Oryzias latipes: one gene and its partner. Each later gene encodes a partner of the first gene's protein in a complex. Links are inferred from orthologs where the notes say so. Each region holds a gene or a part of one and is shown in the gene's direction. Other genes may lie near its edges.

What was found.
Region 2: gtf2e2 (region 1) and polr2b share a complex: the UniProt entries of both Homo sapiens proteins name them as parts of the TBP-based Pol II pre-initiation complex. The link is inferred for Oryzias latipes from reciprocal best matches to the Homo sapiens genes GTF2E2 and POLR2B.

Annotation. Positions count from the first base shown.
Region 1 is NC_019859.2:11,937,264-11,941,213, forward strand, and holds the start of gtf2e2 (transcription initiation factor IIE subunit beta), read left to right. Parts: upstream 1-1,150; 5' UTR 1,151-1,372; intron 1,373-2,061; 5' UTR 2,062-2,066; coding exon 2,067-2,226; intron 2,227-3,020; exon of another isoform or gene 3,021-3,671; coding exon of another isoform or gene 3,672-3,950. Other genes in the region: smim18 (small integral membrane protein 18), read right to left, coding at 3,672-3,950. UniProt on the Homo sapiens protein: Recruits TFIIH to the initiation complex and stimulates the RNA polymerase II C-terminal domain kinase and DNA-dependent ATPase activities of TFIIH. Both TFIIH and TFIIE are required for promoter clearance by RNA polymerase.
Region 2 is NC_019868.2:3,851,943-3,855,905, reverse strand, and holds the start of polr2b (DNA-directed RNA polymerase II subunit RPB2), read left to right. Parts: upstream 1-1,163; 5' UTR 1,164-1,279; coding exon 1,280-1,298; intron 1,299-2,408; coding exon 2,409-2,481; intron 2,482-2,782; coding exon 2,783-2,933; intron 2,934-3,963. UniProt on the Homo sapiens protein: Catalytic core component of RNA polymerase II (Pol II), a DNA-dependent RNA polymerase which synthesizes mRNA precursors and many functional non-coding RNAs using the four ribonucleoside triphosphates as substrates.

The DNA of each region.
Region 1 (3,950 bases):
CTCCAAACTGTCACTGTGTCAGAGTTACACTGCGTTACATAACTTTATTACTTATAAAGTTATGACTCGTAATCAATTATTACTTATAGCGTTCTTTGTAAGACCTACAGAAGTAGAGGAAGTGACAAGGTACTGTCAAGCATTTCACTCTAAGACAAATGGCGATAAGCTTTAATAATCATTAAGTGAAAGTACAGGAAGCAGAATCACAGCTTTTTGTTGTTAAAATAAAACTATGAGTCATCTACCTAAATGGATAACAGAGTGACAGGAGAACCGTAGGGGTCTGTTTACCTCAGGAAAAGTGGAGCTGTCTATTAAATAATGATTCCAATCACCACACTTTGTCAAAAATAACTGATCAGATACATTTTTTTCTTCAAGAAAAAAAAAAAAAAAAAGATAAACACATTTGTTCAAGAAATCAAAAGTTAAATTATTGTTTCTAAGCTAAAAGTGATGAACCATGAGTTTATAAAGATATTTTTAGCAGAGTTTTTTTGTTCATGTGTTCTCGTCTCATTACTAAGTATGTAATGACTTTAATGTCATAGTAATGCTTTACACCCCTTTAGAACTGCAAAAGGTATGCTATCGTAATGTATTTTGTAACTACGTGCTGTAGGCTCCTCTACAGTAAAAAGAAAAAAAAAGGCTTTAAATTAAAAATATTATTCAAAAATAAATCCTGGAACTTTATTAACATTTCACTTAAGTGTTTCATCTTTTAACAAGAAATGAGATTAAACTTTATTGGTCAAAGCACAAAATTTGGCAAAGAAAACTTGTAAAGATTATGTTTATAATCGAAATGGCAATCACACCACAATGCAAAACAGAACATATTACAGTCAGGTGTTGGAAATAATACTTTTAATGTCTTATTACAAACTGTTGGTTATAATAATATCCAATAATTTTCAGTTTAAAAACTGAAAATGTTGGGGGAGAAACATTTGCTGAAACTATTTAATTGTTTTTAAACGTTCCGGCAAGAATTAAAAACTGTGAAACAGAACACTCATTATTTTAGCTATAGTTTCAGAATCCCTAACCAAAATAGCTCTCTTGCCTGAAATAAGTTGACTGTCCTCCAGTCCAGTAGGTGGCGATGTTGAGCTACACAGCTGCGGGTTTTTGCTTGCACGCGGAAGACGTCACCCAAGGAATAACATACGATAACGATAACCGACAACTCGAACACTAAACGAAACAGTTACATGATGGATACAAAAATAATACTTTTTTATTAGAAAGTAAGCTTGAGTTTACTTAAGCTTAAAATTGTCTTTCTATTTCACTTTTTAGTTTATAAATTAGTCTATCGGGACTTATTCGCCACTTTCTGGAAAGAAGAACTCAACAGTAGCAGGTAACGTTGACATGCTAACACTAGGATTAGCATCACATTAGGTGTTAGACAATGCGGGAACATTAATTAGCGGTTATGTGGGTCATGCTGTCACGGGATTCGGTTCTTTGGGGAAACTGGACTCTAAAGGTTCATCTCGATGACTTTTAGCTGCTTATATGAAGTTTTTTTTTTCCCGATAAACTGAAGAAGAAGCTAATCGGACAAACAGCGAACTTCTGTTATATATATGTTTAAATATGTTTTGAGTTGAGTTTTTAGTCCACTGTTTCTGTATTAAGTGTATTTCTTTGGTCACTGTTAATGTAGTAATTCCATGTCTTTGGCCCATATTGTCAGTAGAAGAACCGAACACAATTATTTTTGGCACAAATGGAACACCGTAGTTTTGAAGAACAGAATCCTGTCGTGTCAAGACAATGTTTTAACATCAAATCTAGTTACTAATAATAATCCTTATGCTCTACTTAATATTTGAAGAAAAAATAGTAAAACAGCTGCATCACTGATTAGATTGAGAAAAGAACCAGGTAAACATACCAGGTATAATAGATATGCATGGAGATGATGCACCTCACTGTTTCAGTATTATATTTATTTCATAAATTATATTTAATTTAAACGTTTGAAGCTTAGTAAAACTGCATTTTATCCAGCCTTTTCTGTGTTTACATGCTTTTGTCCACCAGCCTGGATGGATCCAGCTCTGCTTCGCGAGAGGGAGCTGTTTAAGAAAAGAGCTCTCTCCACGCCGGCTGTTGAGAAGAGACCAGCTGCATCAGACTCTGGATCCCACAAGAAGAAGAAGCCCAAGTTAGACAAGGAAGGCTCCTCTGGCTCCAAACACAGCACTGGTAGGTCATGCTTTATATCTGGTTACTGAGCTTCTCCTGGACGTGCCACAAGCTGCTCCGCTCCATTCTGATAAACCCACTTGCAGACAAATGGATCCATGTACGTCTTTGTTTTCCTCGCCTGGGCTGCCATCTGGCGTAAACCTTAAGTTTGCTCACCAATGTTGGGTTGGGTGTGTGAGAGGCTGTAAGCTTATGAGAGAGGATATGCAGAGAGCTCAGTAATGGATGACTGGAAGGGGGGGTAGGGTTGCTCCTTACAGCGCCGCTGGTCCCACTCGCAACTCAGGTGAAATTCCAATGAACTACTGCCACCCTGCAGAAACTATGTCCTAGAAAAACGACCCAGATTTTTTTAATTTTTAGCTAAAAATGACCTTCTCCTAAGTAAAAGACCAATGGAAACGCTTTCACAATAGATCAAAATATGATCGGAGGGGGTCTTTGAGTGAAACTGGCAGATTATTTTTAAGGATTATGTTTTCTTTCTTTTGTTTGGTTTAAATGTTGTTGTTTTTTAATGGATGGATGATGTAACACCTAGGCAATCAAAACTCATTCATCTGTCACTCATAGGTTATTCTGAGTCAAATATTTGAATAATTACGAAAAGCAAAGTGGTCAAAATTCTGCTGTCATTGCTTTTTTTTAAAGGTGTGCACAGATCAAAAAATGACTTCTAACATTTTTATAGTAAATATAAATAAAGCCTAAAAGAATTCTTTGGATGAAAGGACTGATTCATAAGAATCATGAAATATAGAGAAAGAAAATTCAAACTCTTTAACCAAACTTTTTGTTAGATCTCATTTTTATTGATTTTCTTTAGTCTTTTTATGTTTGTCTTCATGAAAATGCCAACATACCACATTGACCAACAGCCGTCCAACGCTAGATTTTATCACTTCATTTAGTTGCTTTTGGAAAATAAACGTCTTCATCTGTTAAAAAAGTTTCAGAAATGTCAGATTTTCCACCTGGTAACATGAGAGTGGCAGCTGATTTCTATACATCCACTACAAACAATTACAACTTTCGGCTCGCCTTAACATCCATTTAAATGAATCATGTTTATTTATAACAATTCTTTTTTATCATACCACAATGTTTTTAACCCAAAAGAAAAGATTTCCATCAACTTTTATCGGGTTTGTGGGAAGCCAAACGAAAACCTTTATTGTGTCTACAAATTCACGACTGTGTGTTTACCATAGAAGAACGGCAAAAAAACACAAAACTAAACAAAGATGACATGAGTCTTTAAAGCCCTAACTCGGCAAACGTTTCTGTGTACAGAATACTCTGGAACATTGATTCATTTTTTTCTTTGCCTCTGAATTGGATGCATGCAAATAGACAGTCTATGGTATCAGGGGTGCTTGTTTTGGCAATAAATTGGGCATCCCAACCCCAAACTCTTCCATTTTCCTTTGTCTGTGCTGCTGCTATACCACCTCCGTGTGGCTCTCCAGCTCCTTGCATGTTCTCGTCATGAGATTGCTGCAGCTTCCCGACCTTTCTTGCTGCAACTGGTGGCGCGTTTTCCCTTTGGCGCAGCAGCCGCAGTCCAGTAACTCGTAGAGAACGGCCAGAGCGGCCAGGGACAGAACGGTGAGGATGAAGAGCAGGAGGATGACGAAGCAGGCGACGTTCCAACCGTCGTGGAAGGGGTAGACTTCCTGTACCTGCAGGGAAACGTGGGACATGGGGATGGCCTCGGGGAG
Region 2 (3,963 bases), on another chromosome or scaffold:
AAAGCTGCAACAATAGGACCGTTTGTGATGACTAAGCTTTTCCTCATCAAAGACTCCATTCACTGATGGTACAGAAAATAGATCGTTATAAAACTCTGGTTTTACATAAAATTCCCAACAGTACTAGAAAAAATAAAATCTCATTTTTAGACAATCTTTCAATCAATAGAAGAGTTTCTGCTTTTCCCTCCACTATGTAGCAGAGGGTTGTAACACTTACAGGCTACGTCTGTTTCAGATGGATCTGGATTTATACGTTATTTGGGTTCTACCATCTTCTTTTTTACAGAAACACCTTAAAACCTCTGATAGTGAACTTAAATAATGTTAGGAAAACGGATCAGATGTAAAACCTGCTGCATCTCTGCTCATGTTTTACTAAAAGCTTCACTTTCTGGATGTTTGTCAATTTGTTCAAATTTACTGTTAATTTTAATCAAACATACTTAAAATCCTTTCAAAAAAGTCCTGTGACTTCATTATTTTCTAATCAACACAGAGGAAAGGCTTCCGGCAGGAAGTGAAGTCCACTTGGCCTCTTGTTAAACTGCAGTGATTATTTTTTTATAGTTAATTTTATGATTCATTTTAAGTATTGAAATCATGGAATTATACAATAAAGAACAGAAATCCAAAATTTAAACAGATTAAATCCATTTCAGATAAAAAGTAATAATTGATAAGAAAAAAGATGTAATGAGATGATGCTATCATATTGACAGTGTGTTTATTCATAATTATAAATAGATGCTTTGCATTAATGCATACAGAACACATGCACGTTACATTAGACCATTAAGATGCACTACCAAGCGTCATTGATTATCAACAAAAACATTAGTTATAAGTTCACACATCCTTATATTTGGGATTTACATGAACACAAAATGACCTGTAAGTCCTCTCATCTCCATATTGAGAAACAAAAGTTTCCTTCTACAATTTCTTGAATTTATGGATATTTAAACATTGTAAGTTGAACACTGATTGAAGGGAAAACCTAATGATATTAGAGTAAAATGTTAAGTATCTATAGTTAGCTTTGATGTCTGATTTATTATTGTTACATTTGTTTTACTAACTGCACTTCGCACACTGCTGTTCTTGGCCTCAACCGCAGGGGGCGCTGTCACAGCAGATGACCGCCAAACACCGGAAACCCCGCAGAAAAAGAAGAAGTGTTTCCGGGTCTCTGTGTCAGGCTGCGCGCCGCTTCTCCGTGTTTTTGTCTTCTTTTTTCTGAAGCCGTCTTTGTTTTGAGGGATTTTCGGAAGCCATCATGTACGACCAGGACGAAGGTGAGGCGCGGATTCCACGCAGCGCCGTTAGAGCTGCGCGTGAACGCTCACGCATGGCGAACGTCTCCTCCATCCATGATCATGATGTTCCATGTTGTTCAACCAAAACCTGTCTGAAGCTTCTTTGCATGCAGCAAGTTTCTGGAACCGGACTTTCTGTAGTTGAACAGACTCTTAAAACCGAGACGCACGTAGTAACCAGGGGGGAAAAACACGCGTGGAAAACGAGCAGACTAGGAAACACGCAAATAACTTTAGTCAGTCCGGCTGGGGGGAAACATTAGCACTTTGTCGCGATATTTTGAAGTATTTTATGCCAAACCAGAAATGTTTGTTCACCAATATGGTCATCATTGAATAGTTGGAGAATTGAAGAAGAAGAAGACTGTTTTCTGGGAATGGGCCCACCACCCTCCCTGGTCAGTGGGATGCTGTGGGAGGTGACTGCCGTGCAGGAGCAGCGCCGCTCCACAGCAGCAGGAGCAGCAGCTGAGTGGCTTTAACATCTGTTCAGTCTGTTTGTTAACCTGTAAACACGCTCACTGATTCTGGTTAAGTGACTGTCCGAATAATCCAAATCTACAATTCCAAAATCCAGATCGCTAGAAATTTCCCAGAAGTCTCTGCGAAAAACCAGTGTGCCTTGATGGTCACTTGATTGGTGAATTTGGACCACAATGCATTGCGTTTGAACAATTTTTCATTTGAAAAAAAAGTATTTAAAGGAATTTCTATTAACCATCATCATGATGATGATGATGGTCATCATCAAACATGTTCAGATTTACGTCATAAAATGTCATATTTGCCATAAAAGAAAAGCAGTAAACATGGCTTTAATTGGCTTTAATAACCAGGGCAATAGATAGTTTTTTAAGTAGTTAGGATGTAGAGAAGGAATATGAACATAAACCCTCACTCCCTCTGTCATGATAACACAGTCATATACAAACAAACCTTTATTTGCAGTCCAGACCGATGACGGACACCCACCAAACTAACTAGAGCGTAACCCTAAGGAACCAACAGCTCAGTGTTGATGACCAGCTGCTGTCAGTTACCTTTAATGTCTTAGTGTGGATGTGGCCTCATCATTTCTGTGTCTGTTAGATAACCAGTATGATGAAGACGATGATGAAATCACCCCAGATCTGTGGCAGGAAGCATGCTGGATCGTCATCAGGTAAGCTCACCTGTCAGGCCCACTGTGACAAAACATGAGTGGGTTTCTGCTGCCGCACACGCAGCAGTCACGCAGTCACCAGAGCGTTCTGCATCAGAAACCCAAACTGCTGTTTAGATAGAGTTCAATAAAAAACAAAGGAAAAGTTGAACCTTTTTCTGATCATCTTTTACACTTTAAGCCTCTTCAGTCATCTCTTTTAATCATCGGTTCTGTGAGTTTCTGGTGCAGGATGTGACGCAGACGGTTCTGATCCGCTGCAGCTCTCCGAGCTCTTCCTGAACTGCTGTCTGTTCTGCAGCTCGTACTTCGATGAGAAGGGTTTGGTGCGGCAGCAGCTGGACTCCTTCGATGAGTTCATCCAGATGTCCGTGCAGAGGATTGTGGAGGACGCGCCTCCCATCGACCTGCAGGCTGAAGCACAGCACACGTCAGGGGAGGTGGAGGAGCCGGTGAGTCTGCGTTGGCTGGTTTGGGCTGCAGGTCCTTCAGTTTTAGTAGGAGCTTCTGATTTTTATGCCACATCAGGGCTCCAGACTAACTTTTTTCACTAGGAGCACTGTGGCCCCTAACTGAAAATTCTAGGGGCGCATACCGTAAATCAACATGCTAACCAAATCTATTCATTTCCACTGTATTACTAATAAATACTTTAATAATAGATGCAGAAATTAAAATGTGCTGTTTCAAATTCAGTGTCACATTTTATTCTTCACTTTTGAAGATGCAACAAGAAGGTAAACTGACAGCACCATCGCTGTCATGACAGTACAAATAGTAAAGAAAACAGATGGAAATTTATCTTTGTGACACCAAATAGGTGCAGCCAAGATGCACAATAAGTGTGTTTGAGATCACCCAGGTGAACTCAACGCTGCACAGATCACCTGGTGTGAGACATATATTTTTGTTTTTGCTCCAACATCAACTGTCAATCATCACAAAAATATCGCGAGAAAGGGGTGGGAGCAAGGGGCAAACCTACCCGGACACAGCTGGAAACTAGAGACTACAAAACAATGCATTATGGGACATGTGTCCTGATGGTTTTTGTAGTGGAGTGATTAATTAAAATAATTTAAAATACCAATTCATTAAAAAGGCTACATACATCACAAAACATTAAAATAATCATAAAATATATAATAACACAGATCATACTAAGGGGGAGAAGAATATTAAAACTAAATTGAATGTTAAGGACAACTCCAACTGTTGTCCTTCAGTCTTGCTGCAGATTCGCCTTCATCTCACAGTGCCCCCCCCCCCCCCCCCCCCCCCCCCCCCCCCCCCCGCCTGGTCTCCCTAACGATCCAGGCGAGGTGCCGGTTCATCTCAAACACGTCTATCGTTGCATTTTCCCCACGTATTTTCAGTGTGTCTAAAACTAATCTTGTTTTTGCTCGAGCGTGTTTAAAGTTCAAGCCCCGTTAGCTGTCACGCATGTAGGTGTGGGACATTTATTCTCCTCAGCTGACCCGA